Drosophila melanogaster: one gene and its partners. The protein of the gene in region 2 interacts with the protein of the main gene of each other region in a pairwise test. Each region holds a gene or a part of one and is shown on either strand. Other genes may lie near its edges.

Region 1 (9,555 bases), on a different chromosome or scaffold from region 2:
GGCCCATGATGGTGGGCACGAACATCACGTAGTGCAGCGCAAGCGGATTGCCCTCCTTTAGAATAGCCGATCCCAAGGATCCACCAAGCAGAGCACTATAAGCACACAAATTACAACCTGAAGTACATTAAATATAAGGATTTCTTTACTTGTAAGTATCCACTCCATCCTCGCCATCAGCACGTAGCTTGCGGATCTTCTCTCCTATGATGCAGGCTTTGCGCAAGCTGTGCTCATAGAGCTCCTTGTGTGACAAATAGGAAATGGGCAAGTCGTCCTGAAGGGCTGGATCCTCCAAAAACAATTTCTCTGGAAAAATCATAAACGAAATTTAATGTAAATGAAGCCATAAGGAAAGGGATTTAATATTTTAGGAGGTGTCATTTAGATAAGCATTGTTGAATTTTGCAGCGTAATCATGAGTGGAAAGTATTCTTCGTTAATTCGCGGGAGTTACTGGGCATTGTCCATTTATGATGCCCTGAGCGACCGTGCAAATCTGTCAGATAAACCTATCAGCTAAACTAATTTCAAGTGGACCTGGAAATAGATGGTGGGTAGCTGCAAACATTCAAAGTACACAAGTAGTCGGATTGATCGCGATTCGCGCGAAGTTCAAAGATTAATAACTTATGAGCTGGCTAATAGGTGCTGATTAACTAGTAGCGGCTTGTTTATGCGGAATACATAATTAATGAACTTTGGGCCACGGCGTGCAGCAAAATCAACAAATCGCATGAATGAATGGACGGAGAAGAAGCGTATCAAAACAAAGAAGTTGACAGGATGTTTTGGATAATTTATCAGTGGCTGACATGGCTAGCATCAGAGTTTGTACCCTACAGATTAGCTATAAATGCGTTAAAGCCTAGCTTAATTGCCAAGTCATGCTTTTGGCACAATTTCTTGCATCCACTGTTGGGAAACGCGATTGCGCCAAGCTCAGATAAAGCTCTGAGCGACCGGTTAATGTGAATGTACATGTAGGTCTGTCGGGGTCACCGGAGAAGCTTGAAATCCGGTGTTTTTCCCTTCTAAGCTAACTCACCCAGGGCCTTCTTCTCCTTGAATCGCTCCTCGCCGCCGGCCCACAGAACGGAGAACTCCCGGGGATTGAAGGTGGCCGTGCTGCGTTCCTTCTGGAGATCGGGATTCACTGGTTTGGCTGGCATTTTGCTATGCGGCACAGTATTCAAGTCACGTAAACAGGTTATGGATTAACGAGCCACCGCAAAGCGTCCGTCTTCGTTGAATATCGCGTACTGACTGATTGTTGCTGGAAAGGCGAATTGCGCTCAGTGGTCAGTCAGTCGGTCACTCAAGTGCTGGTGGAGGAAATCCAGTGGAGGAGATTGAGATTATGGACTGCTGATCTGATCCAGCTATTCCGAATCTAATCATCGATGCCAGCTCTCGAACGACGTGAACTTTAACCGCGAAAATACACATGTAATAAGTTCGCTTTTGTGTTGAAATAGTCTGTAGCACAACCATTATTCTCACGCCATTGTTGTTGGGCTACATTTATGAGTAAATACACAAAATAAATACACTGCATGTAAAAAGTACTTGGGCGTTTTCTTTCAGTTTGTTTCTAATTTAAATAAGATTGCTTTCATAAGCTTCTTTGTTCGTATAATTTGTTTGCAAGTGAATAATGCAAATTCACTACATCTTTCTGCATAAATAACATCTTTAAAATGTCTCAAATTAGCCGTTTTAAAAAAAGTAGGGTATTTGAATTCCGCCTTAATTAATAGATTAATTTTGTTTTTAGCAGCTCTTTGTTTGTATTGTGACGAAATCAGCTGTTGAACAGGGCTGCAAAATACAAACAAGTACGGCAGCACTCGACAACTCCAGGGATACAGTCACCATAATCTTGGCGCCAATTCAAAAAAATTCAAAAATTCCAATTTTATTAAAAACATAGATATATTTGCTAGCTAAATGATCATGAGGTAACACCAATCTTTGGCCTTATAGCATAGGTTCAGGCTTGCACATACGGAAACACGTAAAATTAAATCACGATTTAATACACTTACTAGGTGGTAAATTCATTTGGCTTAGGTCAGAACATTATTTATAATATCCGCTTAAATGCCATGGGCATGGCTAGTGGCTATAGCTATGCCCCGCTGATGCTGCCCCATTCCAGAGTCATAGGAACAGCTGGCCGCTGGCTCCATTTGATGCACTTCCGCCGGATACCAGTGACTGTGAGATTCCGGCAACTGATGGTAACTTAGATCCGCCGAAACATGGGTTTCGCCTCGCGTAGTCTTCGGATAAGATTGCGTATGCAGGGTTTGCCAATCCATACGGGCGGATGAGGTGGTTGATGATGATGGGGCAAATGCCAAACTCCGGCTACTCTGGTGGAACTCAAAGGGCCAGCTCTGCAAGACAGTATAATGTGGAATGTGTGGATAAAACAGGCATAAATCATAGGAGTTGTGGAAACCGCAGGGGCTATATATGGAACAATATGACGACAACCCATCCCGAGACAGCGCCATTGTTTGTTTACGCAACTTTGATTGTTTTTAGTGCCCACCCCCGCCTCCACGTCTAGATCTACAATAACAGCCTCATTAACGGATCTATAAAAACATAAACAGCCAAACACTTGCGGACAAGAGACACTCATTTGTATGCCATACAATGAGGGATTGGAAATGGGATATAGGGATGCTAGGGCTAGCGAGCAAATAGCGAACCAATGGGTTGTTCCCAACAGATCATCTTGGGCGCGTGGATGGTATAAATTCGGATAGGGTCGGGACTCTCCGATCCGATCTGATTTGCCACCATATGGGCACAAGACGGAGCCGTATTTGCTGAATTTTTCACGCATTCGGTGTGTAAACAATTGCATCTATTTAGATAAGTTGTGCACGCCATGAATCTTGAGTGATAGATTGTGTAAACTCCAGCGGGAATGGCTGATGGATAAACACGGTTAGACAAATTTTAATTACAATAATCCGAGTGGGAAAACTACTGAGGATGACACTTTCCCTCGCATGTCATTCACTGTGTCGCTTCAAAGCATCAAGAGCATCTTTAAAAATAAAAAATAAAAGCAAAGACTAACTAGTGCCCCCCATCCAGATCCGCAGGTCTGCGTTACCATCTCCGTTCCCTGCCCGCTCCACCAACAGCCTGTCACTCATATTTAATATTTTCGAAATTCACAAAAGTATCGGATTACAGGAAAGCAAGGCAGTCTGAAATCACAAAATGTGATTTCGGTGTTCTAGTGGGGGGCCCGGCTGAATGGCTGACTCCGGTCATGGGATGTGGATGTGGTTACGTTTGTGGTTCACCTCCACATCTAGAAAAGGTGGAAATACTTGTCGCCGCATCGCGTCCGCATCACCAAGCAGATGTTGCACCACATTCCTTTGGATTTTTGATCTATATTTCGCTAAAATTGCGTTGAATTACCCCTATAAGTTGAGTAGTATTACTAAATACTTAAGTTGCTTGTTAAAAAAAAAATGAGAATAATAGATTGCGTATACGTTTAAATTGTAATAGTATCAATTTTTTAAATTTTAAACACTGAAGCCTGGGTTTCCGTGTAACTTTCCACGATCTCTAAGTTAAAATTCTACGAAAGGCTAATTTCAACTAGCAAAATTTACAAATATCTACCTACTTTATTTCCTTAATGGCTTTTCAAAGAAAACGCATAAAAGAAAAATTTTCATTCCCAATACCAAACTTTCCATAAAAAGACATAAACTTATGGGAATCCCGATCGGCTGAACATTACTTCTCAATTAGACTGAAATCCATGAATAAACATTGATCTTGGGCATATCACTGGGCATCCCCTGCGACACCTGTCATTAACTGACGAGATCCACCTGAAGTGGCCGGCTCATTAATGCGTTCCCGTTCCCCCGAGCCGCGGGTGCAGTGCATCGTTAAGTGGTGGCAGTGACATCACTTATATTCGGGCAGGGGGATCGCAATTGCATGACACTTACCATGCCGTGTCCGTTGTTGTGGAAATTATAATTGCCTCCACCGGACGAATCTGCCATGTGACTTGTGTCCAGGCCTTCGGAACTGGTGGTACTCGAGTGACTGTGGTTGAGGCTGTGGTGCTGGTTGTGGTTGTGCGGGTGGTTCTGCGAGTGGCTGCCTGTCTCCACAGCCGTAATTAGCTGCTTGATGTAGAGCGTGGCCAAACGCAACGTGTCCAACTTGGAGAGCTTCGTGTCCGGCGGAATGTTGGGCAGCTTGGTCTTCAAACGTCCGTAGGCGCTGGATAAAACCCGCATACGCATCCGCTCCCGGGCATTTGCCGCATTTCGCTGCACCGGCGGTTGGGAGCCTGGAAAATCAGAAATGTAGATACATCTTAAGGAGCTCCAATAACAAGAGATTAATTAGAAACAAAAGGTTTTATTGGTATCCACAAAAGTTTTAAGTTACATTATAGATATCTTCGCAAAGTATGAAGTTCAAAAAGCATATGGAGTATGAATTTTAAACTCAATTTATATCTATTGTGCTTTCTGTTATTATAATTTTTATCATTATTATTATATTTTCATTTAGAGCTTAACGCATTTTAAATTAACATTCCTTTTAAGGTAAATTCTAAAGTTCGATTTAAAAAATTCTAAGGAAATTGAATTTTACTTTAAAGTAAATAATAAATTTACAAAACTAGCTAAACATATTTACATTGTCAACGTTTTTAAGCGTTTATAATACATCTTTTTAATATAAGTACAAAATCACCTATAAATTGAAATCGAACTCACTTTGAGAACTGGCATCCTCATCGAAGTCGTCATCAAAGAACTCCGTGGGGCTGGAACTGCGCTTCTTGCGTGGCATTGTTCAAAAACAAGTTGGTGGTATCACAAGAATCACTTCGAATATTTTCAAATTGGATATAAAATTCCAATCACTCAGTTTTCTCACTTAAAATCGAAACGCACCGAACCGAAACCAATCTGTGAGTCGAATACGTCCGATCTGCGTGGCACGTAGAGCACTTCTGTCACGGGTTACGGGGAGATCCTCCTTTTTGAGCATTCTGCTCCGCAGTTTGCAGCTCTCCAGATTCCGTCTATTTCTGGCACCTCTGGTGGGCGTGCCTGCTCCGCAAACAGTCCCAATTGGCGGAGGAATCCGGACACATGGTGCGATCGGCGGTCTCTTTCTCGGTTGTTTGCCTTCTGGCTGCCACCACATTGGCCACACAGTGTTCCTCCGTCGGTCTGCGGGAAAATTCAAAATGAAACGCTCGGTTTATCCGGTTCACTACGGGCGTTGGAGTGGGGATGTTGTGCCGTAAGGATGTGCGACGGGCGAGTGCGAAGCGTGCCAAGACTCCGGCTCCAGATGGCACCACCTGGTATTCGATCTCGCAGTGCATTTGGAGATAGGCATTAATGGCAGATCGGAAGAGATTATAATCCTGGGGTTCAACTGCGTATCCTGTTTGGGGTCGCCGCGATGGTTGGCATTTGAGTATGGGTCCAAAATTTCATTGCTTATGTGGGGAGTTTTAAGTTCCGAGAACGATTTTGACTTTTCAAATTTTCTGCGGGAAATGAAAATACTCGAAAATATATGTACATATATGTAGGCAACACTTTGTTTAATCTATAGAATTTACGTTTTCTTTAAGTGCTTTTAAAAGAAAAGCAAGAGTTTAATAAATCTATTTATATGAATGGATTAATTGAAACCACAACATATTAGCAAGAAGCATCTGTTAAACCGCATCTTTATTGAAACTAAAAATTTGCTCAGATTAAATTGTTTTTTGACCTACGTAGCTGCTAACTAATTTTACTACTTGCCACGCCTCCGAACCCAGATAAGAAACGTGCTGTGACCCTAAAACGTGGCCTTGATTAGGGCCTCCAGTCATGGATGGAACGTCACTGGCACAGCAGGTTTATCAGGATGCTGAACCATGGGTTATCCGATCAATTCAGCGGGAGATTATTATGGCGGTATTGTGTTTTTAACTCGAGAATTCAGTTGAGATTCTAAAGTCGTCGCGCTCGGCCGTTTTTGAGATGTGGCGCCATCGCATCCTGCAGCAAGCTTCGCGCCGTGGAATCAGCAAACAAGTGAGGGAAGATGGAGGAGCTCGAAGGGAACCAAGTGGATTCCTGCCAGGCGCAGCAGATGTTGTGGTTATTGGCGGTGGTTCGGCGGGCTGTCACACACTGTATCACCTGGCACGACGTGGTGTCAAGGCCGTGCTCCTGGAACGCGCCCAACTTACGGCCGGAACCACCTGGCACACGGCTGGATTGCTGTGGCGCCTGCGTCCCAACGATGTGGATATTCAGCTGCTGGCTAATTCACGTCGCATGCTGCAGCAATTGGAGGAGGAAACGGAGCTGGATCCGGGATGGATTCAAAATGGTGGCATCTTCATTGCTCACAATGAAACGCGACTGGACGAGTATCGCAGACTGGCCACTGTGGGCTCAGCTTTGGGTATTGAAAACCAAGTGCTGAGTCCGGAGGACACCCAAAAGTTATTTCCCCTCCTCGATCCGTCGGCATTTGTGGGCGCTCTCTATTCTCCGGGTGATGGTGTCATGGATCCGGCGATGCTGTGTGCGGCCCTCAAAAAGGCAGCCACTAATCTCGGAGCACAGGTAATCGAGAATTGCGGAGTGGATGATCTACTGCTGGAGCAGACTGCGAGGGGTAAGAAGGTGGTGGGTGTTTCCACGCCTTTCGGGGACATCAAAGCTGAGAAGGTAGTGAATGCTACAGGAGTGTGGGGTCGTGATTTGGTGGCCCGGCACGGCACCCATCTTCCCCTTGTGCCCATGAAGCATGCTTATATTGTTTCTGAATCCATTCCGGGTGTTAGAGGTCTACCCAATATCAGAGATCACGATTACTCCACCTACTTCCGCATCCAAGGGGATGCCATCTGCATGGGTGGCTATGAACCGAATCCCATTCTGCTGGAGCCCGTGCCCAAGGACTTCCATTTCGGACTCTACGAACTGGATTGGTCGGTGTTCGAGACCCATGTCGAGGGAGCCCAGAAATTGTGTCCAAGCTATGCGAAATATGGCGTGAAGAGCACGGTTTGTGGCCCGGAATCCTTTACACCCGACCACAAACCCTTGATGGGTCCGGATCCCAACCTAGATGGGCTCTACCACAATTGTGGCTTCAATTCAGCGGGCATGATGTTTGGTGGTGGTTGCGGAGAGCAGACCGCCTTGTGGGTCATCCAAGGTCAACCGGACCTGCCCATGTTTGGCTTCGATCTGCGCAGATTCACCCAGGAGCAGGGCAAAGCCATTCAGTGGATTAGGGAGAAGTCGCACGAGAGCTACGTGAAGAACTACAGCATGGTCTTCAAGTATGATCAACCACTGGCGGGTCGTGATTTCCAAAAGGATCCACTTCACGACGAGATGATGAAGGCAGGCGCCGTAATGGAGGAGAAGCAGGGTTGGGAACGGCCTGGTTTCTTCCTGCCCACCGGTTCCAAGAAGGCGGTGGTTCAGCCCTATGACTGGTACGGAAGCTATGTCCACCAGAGGCACAAGGACAGCGAGTACGAGAGAGTTCTGGATGGGGATCTTCACTACAGCCGCTTCTCGGAGTACCACGATCTCGTAGGTAGCTAAGTAGCTTATGGAAAGCCAAAATAATGATATATATCTTTCAGATCGGTTCGGAGGCCCTGGCATGTCGCAATAACGCCGTGGTCTTTAACATGAGCTACTTCGCCAAGCTGCTTCTAGATGGTCCACAGGCCCAGGAGGCCGCTGACTGGCTATTCTCCGCCAATACCAACAGGGATCCCAGCAAGTAAGATCCATGTATAGATATACAAATTTAGAAACCTTTCTAAACAATTACCACTTCCATTTTAGAACTGTCTACACCTGTGCTCTAAACGATGCCGGCGGAGTGGAGGCGGATGTGACCATTTCCCGCCTTGCTCCCGGTTCTGGAGAGGTCTACAATCCCAAGATCAATGGCCAGGGCTTTTATATTGTGGCTGGCGGCGCTTCTGCCTTCTACACTTACAGTGTTTTGCTGGCAGAGATCCGTCGAAAAGGATTCAATGCGAGCCTCAAGGATCTGACTGCCGAATTGGGTGTGATTTCTATTCAAGGACCAAACAGCCGAAAGATCCTGCAGCCCCTCATCGACTGTGATCTGTCCGATGAGCACGTAGCTCCCAACAGCACTCGATTAGCCAAATTCGGTGATGTGGGTCTCCGTTTGCTGCGGGTCAGCTTTGTGGGAGAACTGGGCTACGAGCTTCATGTGCCCAAGAAGGATTGTGCTGCCGTCTATCGGAGTCTGATGAAAGCGGGAGCTGGAGAGGATTTGCGCAATGCTGGCTACCGTTCCCTTTACTCCCTCAGCAGCGAAAAAGGCTATCATCTATGGAGCTTCGATCTGCGACCGGATGACACGCCCCTGGAAGCTGGCTTGGGATTCACATGTCGCAAAACGGGTGCAGATTACCGTGGCAAGGCGGCCATCGAAAATCAGCGAGCTGAGGGCCTAAAGAAGCGACTGGTCTACTTGACGCTCCGGGATCAGGTGCCCATCTGGGGTTTGGAGGGAGTCTACCGAAATGGCGAGCCCGTGGGCATACTTAGACGAGCTGAATATGCCTATACCCTTGGAAAGTCCCTCGGTCAGACATACGTGTCCCGACCAGATGGCAAGATCATCGATGCTGATTACATTCGGAACGGGGAGTACGAGGTGGACATCTTGGGCAAGAAATACCGCGCCGACTGTCACTTGCGCAGCCCATTCGATCCTACCGGCCAACGGGTTCTCGGTAACTATGCATCCGAGTCCAAGTCCAATAAATAAAGATTAGTCTCTTCCACTTCCAAGAACTCGTTTACCCGGCATAGGGAATTTCTCTCAACCTTTCTCTTTCTGGCAGGGCACGACGGTATTGTTGAAGTGCCTGCCTTAACATACATGTAGGGTCATAAATTACTTTCCCCATGAATATGAAAAGGTTCGAAGAAAGGTCACGGTGTAGGCAGACAGGCAGTCTGCGAAGTGGTCACCCGAAATGGTTGCGGTTACGGCTCAATTAATTTCTGTGTCCAACTATTATGACATCATTCTCGGTTTCCGCGAAGGATATGCCTTTCCAGACGTAATTCTAGAGCACTTGGACACCTCGGCCAGACAGAGGGTCGCCACTCAAGTGGATTTCTTTGCTTAAATGAAATTTCATATAATTGTGATATTGATGCAATACTTTCAGCTTATAATAAACTAGGTTCTTCAGGCCTCGATGGTTACGGTGGAGGCCGTATTGGAGGGACTATCGAAGTGGCCAGCTACCACCTCCTCCAGCGATAAATCGAACTTGAAGATGGGACGGAGATCGTTGTTGAGTCGGCAGACGACTCCGGCGGAGGCGATGTTCCAGTTCCAGCAGATCATGGCGCAGTTCAGTGCCTCCAAATCGCCCTTCATCGAGACAATATTCTATATATGGGGATGCAAACATTATTATCAATCAGATTGTGTGCTTTTAGCGGCCCA
Region 2 (7,764 bases):
TAGATAACCTGCGTCAGTTTGCAGCAGAGCGTGAGGTCAAAGGCATTCAGCTGATTCATCCTGTAGTGCACAAGTGTACAAATGGATTAGTGCATCTCTTGCCAGGAGATGATGCTTACCCCGCCGATCCGGATGCAAGTAACGAAAAAATTGAGATCGATTTGTCAGTCGAGGAATTCCGTTCGAAGACGAATGCTAAATTACATCGATCGGAGCACTGGAACCAGCATCAGTCGCAGCTGATAATTAAGTTTGAGCGGGATGATGGTCAGGTTCATCCATTGGATCCAACAAAATTATAGAGGTAGAGCCGGTTTCCTCTATGTCAGGTGCATTTATCTAGTTTTATAAGTTTTCCAACAATTGATATATAAAGTTGGACATAACACTTTTTAGCAATATACAACTTATAAAGTTCGATTTCCTCCATTTACTCTTGTTTATTACATTGTGTTACAGAACGGTTTAATATACAATTATATAAGATAGATAGAATCGACATGCTGGGATTTGATATAGGAAATCAAGCAATTTCTGAATATGGCATAAAACATCTATCTTCAGTTTTCGTATTAATGCTACTGGCCCTTTCCATACCAAAGTTTGTATAGGTATTCAGCCTCTTCTTGGGATGCATAGACGTTCTCGTATCCTTGATTGCCCTCTGGTTTTGGCCTTAAAATGAAAAGAGTGGTTTTAGTGTGCACCCAGAAGTAGGGCATACAAACTTACTTGTAAATTGGTGCGTGTTCCGGGTGAGTCCAGATCTCGTGGGGCTTCTGGTGTGACGGATTTTTGTGCTTGCAGCCATCCAGCGTCCTTTCAATGTTCTTCTGATTGTTCAGTAGGGCAGCCAGTTTATGATCGACCTGTGAGGTGGCCACCTGCACTCCATGGACAGTGTGCTCGATGCTGTTGAGGCTCTCGGACTGAGTGCGGTTGAGAATGACCAGACCCCACTCCAATTGATTGACTTTGCGATTGGCACGATCTGCCAGAGCCTTAAGTTCGCCCAGATATCCCACTTGACCCACGATGTTGCGCTGCTGCTCCTGGAGGACCTTCGCTTTATTGTCCAAGCCGATGAGTTCCCCTATGACGGCCTGTGATAGCAGCTGCTGAATCTCCGACAGATGCGAGTTGACGGATGAGGCCACTTCATTTAGGTTCTGCTCGTATTTGTTCTGATTGGCAGCCACTTGTTCCAGGGCTTTCCTGATTTCTAGCTCCACTTTGGTAAGATTCCTAATAGAGTTTTCATTCTGACCCTGGATTGCGTTAACAATGGCTGTCAAATTTCCCACTCCAGAGGCCGTGGCTTGGAAGCTGCTTTGAACGTTCGATTCCAGCTTGGCTATGGCAACCTCCAATCCAGCAATGAGTTCGATCTCGTCGCGCTGATGCTTGAACTTCTCTTCAATGCCCTTCTGCACGTCCTTCACTTTCTGCAGCCCATGGTTTAGCTCCTCCGTACCTTTGATCAGCTCCTCCACCTCACTGCGGATCTCATGGATGGAGTCCAGATCCTCAGCTGCAGCCGCGCATAGGTAAATGCATATCGTTAGCAAAGTCAGTCGCACTCTCATGGTGTTTCTCTGATGGCCGCTCCCCGCTGAGTGTCTCTTTTCGATCCGAACCGCAACTTAAGTAGCCCAACTTAAGGTCCAAAACGTGTCTTAGACTGGGTTAAGTTCTATCAGTTCGGTCACCACCCACTTCTCTTCAGCGGGTGCAGGTGCAAATGCTGCTCCAATCTGTAATAGTGTGTTTACGAGAATTTCCCTACTACTAAGAAGATAGTCGCGAACAACTGTTTTATCATCTTGTAAAAAGAAAGAACTAAAGCGAATTATGTTGCATGTAGTCGTACTAAATAGTTATTGGTTCATCGACATCTTGGTAAAGTTAGGGAAAATCCGTGTAGTGTCACGTTTCAAAATTCTTCTTTGTTTCTAAACAGAACAGATTGACCCGGTTTTTTGTGTGCTACGGTAGTAATAACACCACTGAAAAACGTGCCCCAGCTGCTTCTTGTTCAAATTCATTCAGAAAATAGGTCTTCGAAGGTAATGATAACGTAACAAATGTTTTCGGGCATACTGTCTATCGTTTACAAGAAATAAAGTAATAAAGCGAACTAAAGTAATTTTGTAAAAGTTTAATAAGTCTATATTTTGTTTCCTATTTCGAAAACAGCAGTATAATTAATTATCCTTCATATTATCATGCCTATTCAAAAATTGGCCAAGATGCCTTTTGCAAATTTAAACAAACTTGGATCCTTTACTATTAACTTTTAAAAAAGCTTAAAATATTTTTAAAATTTGCTTCTATCAACAAACAATAGCATAGGTTAATAGTAAGGTGAATTTATTTACCTACAAAACATACAAAATAACAAAAATTTCTTCGTATATTTTGAATAGATTTTGAGAAAAGTTTTTGGAAATTGAATGTATATTTTCGCATACGATGCTAAAAGTTGATGCATATGATTTCCATGAAACTATAGCATTTTTTCTCAAAAGTTATTTATTAATTACTTGCTAGGAATATAATCAAAAATGTATTTCCTTTGCTTTTTTTTTATTTATTTATAAAACATAAAAATTGTACAAAGTAATGAATCTGAATTAAAAAAAAAGAGTTTGTTAAATGCTTTGAAAAGTTGTATCAGTTTCAGTAACAGTGGTAGTCCCAGTTAAATCTTCCTTTAGTATCCTTGGGGGAGGGAACTGTCTCCATACCAAATCCTGAAGGATTCTCCTGGCTGGATGGGCTGTGGCTTGTAGATCTCCTCATTGTAAGACTGTGGCTCGTGGTGGGGCTTATGAGGTTGCTCGTGGTTAGGTTTGGGACTGTAATCCACAGGAAGCTTGTAGGATTCAGGCTGGTCATGTGGCAAAGGAACATAGGATGCCGGAGTAGGGTGCTCTTTCTTGGGGCACGGCTTGGGCTTGGTAACGGAGGTGGGAACGTGGGCCGGAGCTGGGTTCCATGGCTGATGGTGGTGAACTGGAGCGGACTGGTATGGGGATCCGTACTCCCACGGCACCGTCTGCCGCCAGGACACGGCGCTGGAGCTCTGATAGTTCTTCTTTGGCTCGGGGGACTGGGCATAGGCGGTAGCTTTGTGGTTTCCAGAGTGCTCTCCTATGAACGACAAGCCATTAATTTGTGATCCTAATCTGGTGGCAATAAGGACCACTTACCGTGCTTGGGCTCCTCCTTGATGCTCCACACCTGTTCCAGATCCACTTGCTTGGGCTTAGGATGAGCATGCTGCGGCTCTGGGACCTCAGCTCCGTAGGTGGGAAGATAGGACTCGTCGTGATGGCCATATTGCGGATAGGGCTGTTGTCGGCTGCACTCTTCCAGACCCAGTTCGATGCGTTTCTGCGAGATGATCAGTTCGCGGAGAACAGCCTCCACTTTCCAGGAACTGTGGGGCTGCAAATGCTTGACTGCATCGATTAGGATGTCCAAGCGCTGCTCCTGAGTGCGATTCAGCTGCTTCAATTGATGCTCCAGCACGTTCAGCTTGAAGTTGGAGTTCTCGCTGAGCTCCTTGACTCCGGCCAAGTTCTTCAGCTCCACCTCCACGTTGATTTGGGACGTCTCCAAGCTATCGAAGGTACACTTTAGCCCATTCAATTGTGGCAACACCGTCCTAGTAATAAGTTTGGCCAGTCCGTCGATGCTGTTGTCAATGTTGCGGGAACTATGGAGCACGTGCCTCTGATAGGCATCCAGCTTGGCCTCCAGGACATTGAGTATCTCCTTGGTGCCCTCCTGCAGACGCACCAATTCCAGGAGCTCTGACTCCGTTCGATTGCCGTATTCCTCGCCCTGCCTAGAGAGGTTCTCAAGGGTGGCCACCAGATTGTGGGAGCCAACCTCCAGAACGACAGTCAACTTGGCTAGCAGCTTCTCCACGAGCGTCAGGGCCTTCAGTGCCTCCTTTTGCTCTGCCAAACCGACCTGAGTCTGCTCGCTTACTTGGGCAATCCGGGTCAGGAGCACATTGGCTGCCTGTACGCCCTTCGCATTGTCCTTCAAGAGGTCAGCGATGCTCTCATCCGCTTGGATGCCGCAGAGGCAGGCGCCCAGAAAGAAGAACGTGATCAGTACTTTCATTTCAACTGCAAGTTGTTTTCGACTGGAAACACCAATTGCAAGTGTCTTTTGTTGTCCAAGGGCAGAGCTTAAATATGTTTGCGAACACGTGTGGATTGGAACTAATCTATTTGGGTTTTTTGCTCTTCGTGCTCGCTTCTGCATGGTAATCTGACCAAAAAGGTAAAGTTTGAATTTCGCACGAATTCAAACTTCAAATATTCAGCGCTTTGATTAGGCGGCTATCGATCGATTTTTTTTTGCACAGGAGTCGTTATCGTGCCTATCGACCAATCAGCTGATTGGAGGGAACAAAACAACCTTTTGATTTCGTTTTCTTTGTGGATGGAACTAAACAGTTTTGCTACTCATTTGGCTAAATAAAAGCAGATATGAGCCAACCTGCATCTCCTACCAAGTGGCGCACCTCGGCCAGTGTAATCCTGGTGTCCAGAGATGATGGCAATAACAAAGATTACAAGGAAAGTGAAGAGGCCATTTCCAAAAGCGGATAACCATAATCCTGACCTTTCAGGTGCTTATGCTAAAACGCAGTGATGCCACGGCGATTGCGCTCAATCAGACTGTATTTCCCGGTGGCCTCTTGGACTCTGGGGCCGATGAAAGCGTCGCCTGGCTGCACTACCTCGAGGAGTTTGGTGTTCCACAAGAGGCACTACGCCGCCTGGTTCTCATCCGCGAAGATCGTCCTGCCATTCTGGCGCCCCAGGGCACTGGCTGCTACGATCGGTTCTTTAAGCGTTCCCGCATTTGGGCTCGGTGAGTCCAAAGGTTGCGCTAAACTCTGTCACATTGGGAGTTTAATCTATGACCTTTGTCTTTTTAGGGAGATTACGCTGCGACTAACCGCCGTGAGGGAATGCTTTGAAGAGGTGGGTCTGTTGCTTTGCCGGAGTCGGAGTCAACTGGATTTTGGTGCGGTAACTTGCGCTCAGGCTGTTCCAGACCTGGAGTCGTGGCAGCGAAGGGTGCACAACAAGCCGGCTGAGTTTCTAACTCTCTGCCGCGAGCTAAATGTAGTTCCAGATTTGTGGGCTCTGCATGAGTGGTCTGCCTGGGCGAGTCCAGGATTCATACGCAAAGGGTGGGTATGGGGTCACAAAAAAATCATAAATGAAAGCTTAATTTCTTTGCTTAGTAATCTAAAAAAAGTATGGTAAAGTTCTTGGTTCTAATATAGATTATATTACACTTAATAGGCATGAAACCGTTTTCTTCATGGCTTTTGTGGACAAGCAGCCCGAATTGCTGGAAGAACCTTCCGAGGTCAAGGAAACGCTGGTAAGGTTTATCTTTTAAACCCCAAATTCACAATAAACGAGTTATTTATGTATATAGTGGCTGACACCCGTTGAACTGCTGCGACTGGCTGATTTGGGCAATGTTTGGTTCATGCCACCACAGGTCTACGAATTGTCCCGGTTGATGGGAATTAAGGCGTATCAATCCCTGTTGGAATTTGCCATCAAGCGCAGCGGATTGGGAACGACCATGTTCTTGCCGATTGGTTATAACTGCCAGGGCTCTATGGTTTTCGTCTTACCTGGTATGTTAAAGGAATATTCAGTGTAATATCCAAATCATTTTTTTTAAATAATCATTTACCTTAGGCGATGACTTCTATGTTCCCGAACCTCACTTGGTTCACGAAATAATCAGTTTTCCGGGATCAGAAGAAGAGTTTAGGGCTCGTTCAAAGCATCTGCATCGCTATACCTATGGTCCTGGTGTTCGAAACTTGGAGTTAAATATTGCGCCGCCAAATGGACACTTGAAACCGCTGAAATTTCAGGCGGAGCGCCAAAAGCTGTAATCACATTCCGTAGCTGGACGGGTGGTGACCCCAGCTGCTAAGCTCTGATAAGATGCTAAATGTGAATCCTGAAATGGGGCAGTCACAAATTGGTGTTTTGAAATTATTTTAAGCGGCTTTAGCTGGCCATCAAATTATCACGACGGTGTCTCCTAAGAGCATTAATTATTATTTTATGGGACAATTTTAATTAAAAAATGTACAGTTTAATTTAAAGTTAAGTAAAGGCACTTAGCTTAAGATGAAGGTGGTCCCGTTCGGGAATAAACTCTTTATGGCTAGCACATCAAAAGCGCAAATTCATGCATATTTATGTCCGCCCCTTGAAAACCGCAAATCAGAGTAGGAATGAGAATGGAGTTGAAGAGAGCTTGTGTTGGCTCAGACAGTATATAATTTCATCCCATTAGAAATGCATTTAAATCACTTTGTGTGCCGAGACACCCACCCACTCTTCCCATGTTCATCGCCACCTGCCGTGTGACTTTGTGCGCTTTACAGCCTTGTCTTCTGAATCCCAACCAGCCAGCCAGCGCATCCACCCCCCGACGTGCCGTTTAAAAATCAAAATCTCAACGAGCTTCGTTCCCCACTTTTGTTTGCTCCGTGCCCGCTCGACTGTTTATTATGCATTGTAAAGGACCCAGGCAGGACAACCCTCCTCAGGACCTTACAAACGGCCAGAGGGGGTCGAGTTTCAACGGCTGAGGCTGTGTAACAATTACTTCGTTTAATTTAACCTTTTGTGGCTGGCTTCCGGCGTTTATTGTCCTGCTGCTGTTCATTTAATATCGATTAATTATGCTATTATGTGGCCCAGCGGAAGTAACCATTATGGAGTGTAATTAATGAGCACCCCCCCAAGTATCACGGCAGAGCGAAGATTGGGAATGGAGGGTAAATATCATTGTTGCTGAAAATAGTTTTCAAAGGATGGGGCAACTAATATTGTTAAGCAAGGTATGTTAAGCTTTTGTTGTTTCAATAACAATTTGTGTCAGAAAATGTGAAGTGTAATTATTAGTAGCTTGGTTGAAAGACAATTTGAAGCAACTTCTTGGATATTCTTTTGTATATTATTGTATGTAGTTCAACTTTTCTGCTTTCCTTGCCAGATTGTGCCCCTGGAAATACTGTTCCAAACCGATTTTCTAATTAACAGACAGCGCAGGCGGGAAGGTCGACAAAGCCGCCCATAAATTACACATTAAATTTAAATGCATAATGTGACAAAGTGTCCGGGTGAGTTATGAGCGCCAAAGCCGCTTAGCATTTACTAAGACATCTCGGGACCCGGGTAATTTGGCATCTCAGGAGCAGGCGGCCCAGAACTCCTGATTTATGCGGGAATGGAAAGCGACTTGGGAAAGCGGAGAAGACAAGAACTGTAATTGAATTTAGAGCTCATTTTCATTGGGCCGACATAATGCTGATTTACGTGGCCGCCGATTTGGTGGAATTGGCTTATTAATTGCCTAGAAGGTGCAAATGCATATCACGTACCATCCCGCCCATCTCCCATTCCCATCTGCTCTGGAAGCCGCCAATTAGGGCGATTATTCGAGGAGGTCCTGCTCACCTGGCGGTGACATGAATGCCAAAACAGAGCCTGGCCAGATCGATTCGCAAGTAATTGACAACTTCTCACTCGGACTTCCCACGGGTGTAACAAAACACACACTTGTTCCGGAGAGATTTATTTTTATTGTGCGCATTGTTTGCACTCAACTCGACTCGACTGGCTTTGCATACCCTGTACTGATAGGCAGGGGAGTGATGAACCCGTGGATTTGCACAGAGAAGGTCGACTTTTG
Region 3 (8,722 bases), on a different chromosome or scaffold from region 2:
GTTTCCGTAATGAGGCGGACACACCCCACAGATCGAAAAACCAGATCAATATCACCATTATGGGCAACAACAGCCTGTCTGCCGCCAACTTCGGCCAAACTTCACACACAATACGAGACTATGAATAAATAAACCATATCGATAGGCAAACTGCTTAGCATAGCTAATGATTTTGTTAATCGTAGAGGCGAAAACAAGTCCACACACAATCCGGTTGGCTTAACCCAATAAACTTCACTTCGCCGCTCGAAAATCAGAAACTGCAAGTTGTCATCATCATACGATTATTTTTTAGTATATAACAAAAACAAAAATAAAAAGCAATAGACACAGCGTGCCAAAAAATTGCTGATAAGCCCTTATCACATGGTCATATTAGACTAAGAAGTAATCATAACTGTGGGAAAAACTGATATGACTATATTGGTTGAGCAAGGTGTTAATTGCTGGGAAAAAAACGAAATCAGTTCATTATTTTCTTTTTCCCCGATTTAACACTAATTAATATTAATTCAACTGGGAGCACAGCCTTTGATAAACTCAGCGCCCCGATTGCGTCAAAATCAAGGTTAATGGATTACCTGATAATTGATAATTGCCTGAATGAATTTAATGTTATACATGGAATGACAAAACACGTGATTCCTGGGGGATGCGGCCCGTATAGAGAATGATTTGATGCATCAACAATTTCCCAAGAATAGTTGAATCAATCAAAACATGTTTACAGTAAGCAAACAAAACAATTAAACTGCATCAACATTCTCTCTACGTAAGATGAGCACGCCCACTATTAATTTGTTATTGTTTGTTTGCCATCGGTTCTGGCACCAGCTAGTTCTATATGCTAGAGAAATCTGTTGGCACAGCGAATAAATTAAAAACTGAATCGAAATGGGGCGTACGAATAAAAATTGAATCAACTTCTGCCTCTCTTCGGCGACCTTGCCACATCGCATATAGATGCGAACATATACATATGCACAAACAAACATACATATGTACATATATCATATCAAGCATATGTTAATTTATCTGACAGCAACTTTCAAGCGTGAAAAATCAAATGGAATTAACAATAAGTCAGCAGGGAAAAAGAGAATATCAAAGAGATAATGCCCCTTGATGGGCAGCATTACAACGCAAATCGACTGAGAATTGGGGGCTCGACTCGGTCTATATTTATGTGAATTTTCCTAGTACACTGCATACTGAAAAGCCAAAAAAAAAAAAATTATATTTAAATTTAAATTAGGCATCGCAGTAGGATGGCGCACCGATTTTCTGAACTACGTCAATTTCTGATACAAATATCTCTGAAATGCGCCTTGTTTTTTTGTGAGATGTTTAAGAAAATGTGTGTTTTTTTTTGTCAACAATTTATAATATATAGAGCAAAGTCCAAGATTCCCAAGAGCAAAGTACAAAAATGCAAGTAAATGTGGCAGATTTAGCCTTAAGACTATTTTTTGGCACTCAATATGTTGATTGATTTTCAAAAGTGCGAACTGCTTAAAAAATTTAGCTATTTAAAAATAGTTTCAAACCAAAATGTGTGAACAATAAAAATAAATTATTTTGGTTAGGATAACTGCTCTAATACGTCTTAAAAATTAAATATTAATTTATAACAATCGTAGTTTTCACACTTCATATTCTTTTATCTATATGTTTTCAAGATCATTTGAATGACTTATGGCACCAATTCAAAGCTCCTTGCACTATCAATCCATTAATTCTTGATTTATAGAAGGAAATTTCTATTGTCTGACTGCCCTTTATTGTCCACTTATCTTCAAGTCGCGAAATCCCGGCGGTCGAAAAATGCATAAAAACAAATCGTAAAATTGACCGATAAGATAATCCCCAGTTCGGGGCTAGCACTAAACGTAAATCCATATTGGCCAAAACAGGTGGCTAGATTTAAAGTTAGATTTATGATTGGAATGCCCCGCGCCACAAAATAACGTCACAGATAGACGCCAAACGCTTTTCCTATCGCTTAGCCATTAGAAGATACAGATTCTCGATGGTCAGCCAGGCGGAAATCAATGCGGAAGTGGATAAAAAATTCTCGGCTATTTCGATACCACGGTAACAGTAGGTCCGCATACCGTCTGTGTGTGTGCAACAAGTGGAAGGTGCACTTTTGTATCTGTATCTGCAACTGCATTAGTGCTTGTATCTGTATCTTTTTAACTGAGCCCATTTTAAGTGCACGAAGTGTGAAGTGAGCAAAGCCATTTGAATGACTCGACATGCAGGTGATACCCTTGTGACCAAGATTGTGATGATTATAAATTAAGCAGTATAATGGAAAGGCCATATATCTTAAATGTTATTATTGACTCATATAAGTCAAAACTGCTTACTTTCCATTCAAAGAGGATTGCTTGGAGTTGCGAAGATAATGTAATATTTTGAAATAATCGTTTACATTGCTCAATGGCTTGGGGATAATTTAATAACTAAATACTCAAACACTATCAGCTTAATAAAGTTTAATGAAAAGCTTCTTAGCATTGGTTGATAATTCTTTAACGATTAAATTGTAATTCGATTGCACGCGCTTTAATTTTAAGTTATCAGCTCAAGCTAAGTACTTTACTTTGTTCTACAACGCAGTTATTAATACAAATTTTTTTTCATTTTACATATTTGTAAATAGGCATCAAGTTGAAAAGATTAAATGAATCATTTTATATATACCCCAAGCCAGGGTATCCAAACTTCATTTTCGACTTCAACCTCGACGACATCTGTGGTCTAAAATTAGCACAAGCTAGGCTATAAACAAACATCGCACTTTGTGCCCCCCCTTGTGCGATCTTTTTTTCTGGTTTTTCGCTATTTTCGCCGGTTTTTTCAATCAGCCAATGCATTTCTCACCTATGCCGAGGGGTGTGCCAATCTTTCCGGAAACGTTGAGGAACTTGAATCCCATGTTGATGAAGGCTTTGCCATCGATCACCTTGCTCAGCGATCCGCTCTCGTCCAGCGTTTGTGGATTATGTGGGCTAACTGCCGAGGTGGGCGTGTTCGTTGAGGGCGTGTTCAGCGGCGTGGGCGTGGCAGTGCAGCATTTGCCGAATCCGAGCATTAAAGTCAGGAGCAGGAGATTGAAGTTGGCGCATGCGCAGCGGAACAGCTGTTCGGCGCGTCTTTTCTCGCCGAGATTACCGAATGTTACTGGAGATTTTGAGCTTGTGGTTGATTTTATGGCGGTTTTTGTGGTTTCACTTGCAGTGCTCGTAGAGCGTGACTCTATGGCCATGGTACGGTATTTTGCTTGCCTTCACTCTTCTTTTGCTTTAATTTATGCTGTCTGTTTAATGCTTTTTTCACACTTTTATCACTTCGATCTTACAAGGTTTGTATAGACACTGTATTCGATAGGGGAAAATTAAGTGGGGTGATTTCTGGTGACCCTGGTTGAATAGATTATCTAAGCAGGAAGCGTGAGATCTTCGCCAGAGATTATCTAATCAGAGAAATGGCCAAAAGAACCAGCGTCAACGTAAAAATAAACGCAAGCATTAACGCAAAAACATTGGAAGAATCGCTTGCCAGCCAAAAAATAAAATAAACACACGATCCGGCCAATTCTCTTTTACTTTCGTCTCTCTTCACATTTCTTATTTCGAGATGAGAAGACTGAAGAAACTGGTTGAAAATCGTGCGACACACAAAAACGCGACGTAGCTAAAAAAAAATACAAAAACCGAAAAGGCCGAAAAAAAAAAATTTAAGCAAAAATATCGGACAACAACAAAATCACCGAAAAATGCGAAGAGAGAAAAAAAGCAACGCATAAAATTACACAGAAAATTCATTTATATATTAAACTTTGAAAATAATTATATATGTACTTAACGAGAAATAACATTTATTTTGAGTAAAATATGGAAATTATAAACGATAAGTAAAATATTTGATAATAATTGTATATTAGCAAGAAAAACAAGTTTTCCCTTAATTTTTATAGAGAAACAAAAACGTTTCTGTTGACGTTGGCAATTAATAAAGCCGAAGTATAATTTAAAATTTAGTTGAGCGGACGGCCACGCCCCCTCCGATCGCGCAAATAAATTAATTAAATATTGTTGTTGCCGATATTTGTAGCTAGCACGCGTCAAATCGCCCGGATAAATAAACTCTTATCAGTTTTGCCTTTTATTTTGATTTATTTTTGCGGTATTTTCAAGGTGTCTGCGAATGTGCGGCACGTGCTAATCGCGTCTTTCCAAATTTATTTCAGAAACAGATCATTGCATTTAAATCTGTAGAATGTTTGAATTACATGAGGTTTGTTTTTATTTCGCTTTGTTTGTTTCTTTTGTGTTTTTTATTTGGTTTTTAAGTTGAAAATAAACCGCAAAAAACTGTGATGCCCGTTTCGCACAACGCGCCTTTTTCAACTGAATTCGCTTAGAGAATTGGCCTGCAAATTTAAGCGAATCGCCAGCGATTTTAATTCGAGAGCCGAGAGTAACTGTCGTTTGCGATTGTGCTTGTTTTTGCACCGTCTTAAGGTGGCCTTATCAAAACTGACAAGAAACTGACCAGACCCCGTCGAAGAGATACATAAAGAGTGATCTGGCAGATCGGAGCACTCTCTGAATTTAATCGATGCTGTATTCCACTCTTAGCTCCCCAAAAGATTACTAACGTACAAGGTGCTCTTAAGGCAAACCAGTTGATCAGTGATCAATGGAGCGTACGTTGATGTGAATGGATAGATTGGGCAAGGAATCGTTGGGCGATCTATAGATACAACTATTACAGAAGCATTGTTTAAAAACTACAAGAATTTTAAATGCTTCTTCAACTGAGATAATTTATTTAAAAAACAAAAGCAACATGCTAACGAATCCCAGCTATTAAGAATCGATCAATCATTTCTTAAGTTATAAACCTACGCCTTAGAAATTAAAGTATTTTTTATGATAAGGGATCATACTACTTTCGGAATATTGCGACTGATTTCACAACTAGACAGAATTCCGTGGAAATATATTGAATAAGTAGTGATAATTATCTTGTCGTAATGCCAAGAATCCACTTTAATTTAAAAATACGTTTTGTTATTTTATACTCAAGTTGGGCAAATATCCCCTGAGAAAGAAAAAGAAGGACTCAAGTGCTAACTTGAGAATGATGTTTGCGAACCAACAAAGGTTATATAGGGTAATCGCACAAAGTGTACTTAGATGTACATGTAATTGGTCAGCCAATTATTCAATCTGATATTAAAGTCTAATTAAAAATAAGTGGTTAAGGGCTCCGAATTAAGAGCAGTTTCAGACCTCGGAAAAAATCCTATTTTCTACAGTACCAACCTGAATGTAAGGAAAACGCCAAGGAGATCACAATCAGCACACAGAGATCACTTTTAAACATCGTACTGTACGAAAATACGTTTTTCAGACTGTATGTATCTAGACTTCCTTTTTGCGTTGCCACCGCGTTTATCAGTGCGAAAAACAAAGATATTTTTTAATTAAGCTGGACAACCGGACGTGAGAATTGTGCCGATAATCGTACGACAGTCGTGACGTTCTGCATGGGCCCACCGAAACTATATCCAGGTATCAAATAGGTATTTTGAATATACTTAATTCTTTTGATTTTTTTTTGGGACCCGGAAGGTTTTACGGTGTGATGCCCAGCGAAGACCGATGCGAACTGAAATGCCTTTCGGCGATTGGTAAACGGAATCGCAGCTCATTAGCATTGAAAGTGTCGCCGCTTTCAATCAAACCAGGTGTGGGTCCGATTGAAAGTGGTGTGAAATTCGAAATTGAACTGGAGTGTCGTGGATTTGATTTCATTGGCTTTTGGCTTGGTTAGAGTTGCGTTGACTGACGTCGATGATAAGAGGCGGTGAAAAATCGCAGCCAGCGGACAATGGGTTCGGTTAGGGTCAGTCATTTAAAATGCGTCATCTTCAAAACAATTATCGGCACTAGCAGCATCCCAGTACCAATGGAAATCTCAATCAAACCCGCAATCACAATCACCATCATATCAGCCATTAGATTGCATTGCAATCACCATCGTCATCGGTGCTTGGGCGTCATCTGCATTTGTCATGGATTCTCCGGCGTAACGGTCCACTTGAAATGGGCATAATTTATGATTTGCGCGTGTAAATCATTTTTCAAGCACCACCCCGCGATGCTTGTGAATGACAGAGCCGTCGGAAAACCCCCACCAAACCAACGCCCCTGCCAACCATTCTGTATATTTTGCAGTGCGCCGCCGTCTCTAATTGCAGGCGTTGGAAATCGCTGGCGAATCGCTCGCAAATCGCCTAATCAAGCACTTCAATTGACACTGCATTTTATCGCCCTGCAGCCCCGTGCCGTGTGTTCAAGTTTTGTCGAGTGTGAGTTTAGGAAAACATATGTACATATATATATACACCAATACATACATATGTGTCTATTGTGGTTTTGGCAGGCGTGAAGGGCCAGCCCATCTATCAACTATCGCTTGGCCAGATAATGATCAGTGTTCTTTAATCTTTAAGTGGCCTGACTGTAATCGCTATTTTCGGATACCGAAACAGGAGTCCCTTGGCTATATAATTTAAATATAAGAAATATTTTAAAAAAATCGAATTAAGCGAGCAGAAATATTAATAACCATCGCAACATAAAAAACTAATTAGTTTTAGAAATAAACGATCATAAAAGTTGTCGTATTTATTGAAAATTCATGATAATTAGGTAAGACTGTAGTTCCACTTGAACTAAATTAATATTTTAAGTGCATTGATCGAGTAATTCCAAAGCGGAAATTCTGACTTAAGTCTTTATCAAATTAAGCCCAAATTCCATACGCCCTTTCTACACTTTCAACACCAGGGCATTATACGAGCAGTTGGGAATTACATGACCCAATGTTTGCTGTTGTTATGGCAAAAGTCTCGATTTGGTCTACGTATAGACAATGTCTGAAGATCTCAACTCGGTGGCGTCTACACCTCATTTGTGGTAGGTCTAATTGAACTTTGCTGCGATTTTCCAGGGAATTCGTTAGTATTGTTTGCACTGATATACACTGATTATTATTTTGTTTGCGTTATGAACACTTTGTGTGGTCCTTGCACTTCACAGTTCATATTATGCATTGTATCTTCATTATTTTATTTCTTAACACTTTGTTGGTTCCGATCCACTCGACTATCGACGCGGTTCTGAAAGTTCGTCGTTGGTTTTTTTTGTGTAGTGGATATGAAGTGTCTGTCTCTTTACCATTTCCAATCACATCACCCCATAGGGGGTTGCTTTAATTACCTATTACCATATTTGGCTAATTAACATAGTGCAGTGAGTTTGATTAAAAAAACGTCAAACGCATTAGGTAGAAACGAAAAGTTTTCCACGCGTTTCTTTTTACATGCTTTTTTTCTTAGATAAGAATTTTAGAAATAGTTTTTCAACATTTTTACATATATTCTCACTTTTTAAATACTTTGTGAAAATTTTAACAAGCAAATATATTTTTCTATGATCGTATGGAAGTAACAGTGGCGCGGATGTTATCGAAAATTCAAATGGAATATATTTTCGAAAGTCGCGCGCGATTGGAAAAAGTCTTCGAATCCGAATGTAAACAGCGAATGAATGAGCGAAGAAGTAACGGTAAATTTCACATGTGCCAAATGACAATAGAAGTCGCCGACGCAGCAGCCTCTGCCACAGCCGGCGTCGCAGTCGCAGCGACCGCGGCGCATTAGCAGAGGTTTTCCCACCAAACGAAACAGTTGTGGATGCTGCTGGAAAAGCGCTGTTAAGCCACTGCTAACCGCTTAACAGTGAGTGTTGCGCAGCGGCGACGTCAGCGTTATCGCTCATAAACGTCATTCAATGGCCATATCTTTATGGGCGCTACTGCTTCGGGGTATTCGACTATGTGTGTGTGTGTTTGTCTGCCCAGCGAAGCGTTGCTAAATATGAAAACATAAAAATTAATGTTATATTTATAGTGTGGCAGCAAAAGTTGCGGCAGGAGGCGTTGCGGTCGCTGCAGGGCAGCAACAACCATACAAGCAGCACCACCAGCAAAATCAAAAGTAGTAACAGAAGCAAAAGGAGTAGGTACACTGAGCGAAAGTTATGTAACTTATTAGCTGAAAGATACTTTTGTACTGCTGAGATGCATTTGTATCCAAAAGATACTTTGTATTAACAAGTCTGTGGTAAGTTTTTGAAATCGTATATGGGTCATTCCTAAAACTAAAGGTTCATTGAAAGTAAACACAATTATTGGTTTTTGTACATGTACAGCCATTGTTTAATGTTCATTATTTATTATTTATTTAGCAATGTTATTTTTCTTGTTTCCTTTCCAAAAAGTAGTATAATACATTTTCCCCTTGTGCACCAGTAGTACTAAGTCCTGGCCAAGTGTCGGCTGTTGGCTTTTGCTGGCTGGTATTTGTTGGTAGTATATTTGCTTTGCCCCGCGGCGACTTGGTCTGGTCGCTTCTGCTACTTTCCACTCACCCAACTATTTGTAGTGTTGCCAGAGGACATTGGCGTGGCGACGGGAGGAGAAGTCAGCAGTTTATCCCTTTTGAATTTCAATAAGCAGGACAAAATATTTTCAACCATAAATCGTTAAAAATAAGTACATATATGAATTGGCAGTGGTTACTCGCTAATGGCAACGGATTTTTAAATTTTCAACTATGTGTAAGCATTCAGTTTCCTAT

Evidence for each region.
Region 1: the proteins of CG13084 (region 2) and HLH54F interact in a two-hybrid assay, tested with the Drosophila melanogaster proteins (one large-scale study listed by BioGRID).
Region 3: the proteins of CG13084 (region 2) and LpR1 interact in a two-hybrid assay, tested with the Drosophila melanogaster proteins (one large-scale study listed by BioGRID).

Annotation. Positions count from the first base shown.
Region 1 is NT_033778.4:17,752,883-17,762,437, reverse strand, and holds HLH54F (HLH54F), read right to left. Parts: upstream 5,034-9,555; 5' UTR 4,864-5,033; coding exon 4,788-4,863; intron 4,352-4,787; coding exon 4,002-4,351; intron 2,403-4,001; coding exon 2,100-2,402; 3' UTR 1,921-2,099; downstream 1-1,920. Other genes in the region: ACOX1 (acyl-CoA oxidase 1), read right to left, coding at 1-95, 150-309, 1,049-1,172; Sardh (sarcosine dehydrogenase), read left to right, coding at 6,060-7,637, 7,691-7,833, 7,899-8,862; CG5002 (uncharacterized protein), read right to left, coding at 9,292-9,498.
Region 2 is NT_033779.5:19,481,346-19,489,109, reverse strand, and holds CG13084 (uncharacterized protein), read right to left. Parts: upstream 4,181-7,764; 5' UTR 4,138-4,180; coding exon 3,213-4,137; intron 3,154-3,212; coding exon 2,714-3,153; 3' UTR 2,578-2,713; downstream 1-2,577. Other genes in the region: CG10194 (uncharacterized protein), read left to right, coding at 1-302; CG13083 (uncharacterized protein), read right to left, coding at 579-675, 733-1,586.
Region 3 is NT_033777.3:25,755,903-25,764,624, forward strand, and holds the start of LpR1 (lipophorin receptor 1), read right to left. Parts: upstream 4,421-8,722; 5' UTR 4,301-4,420; intron 3,384-4,300; 5' UTR 3,275-3,383; coding exon 2,890-3,274; intron 1-2,889.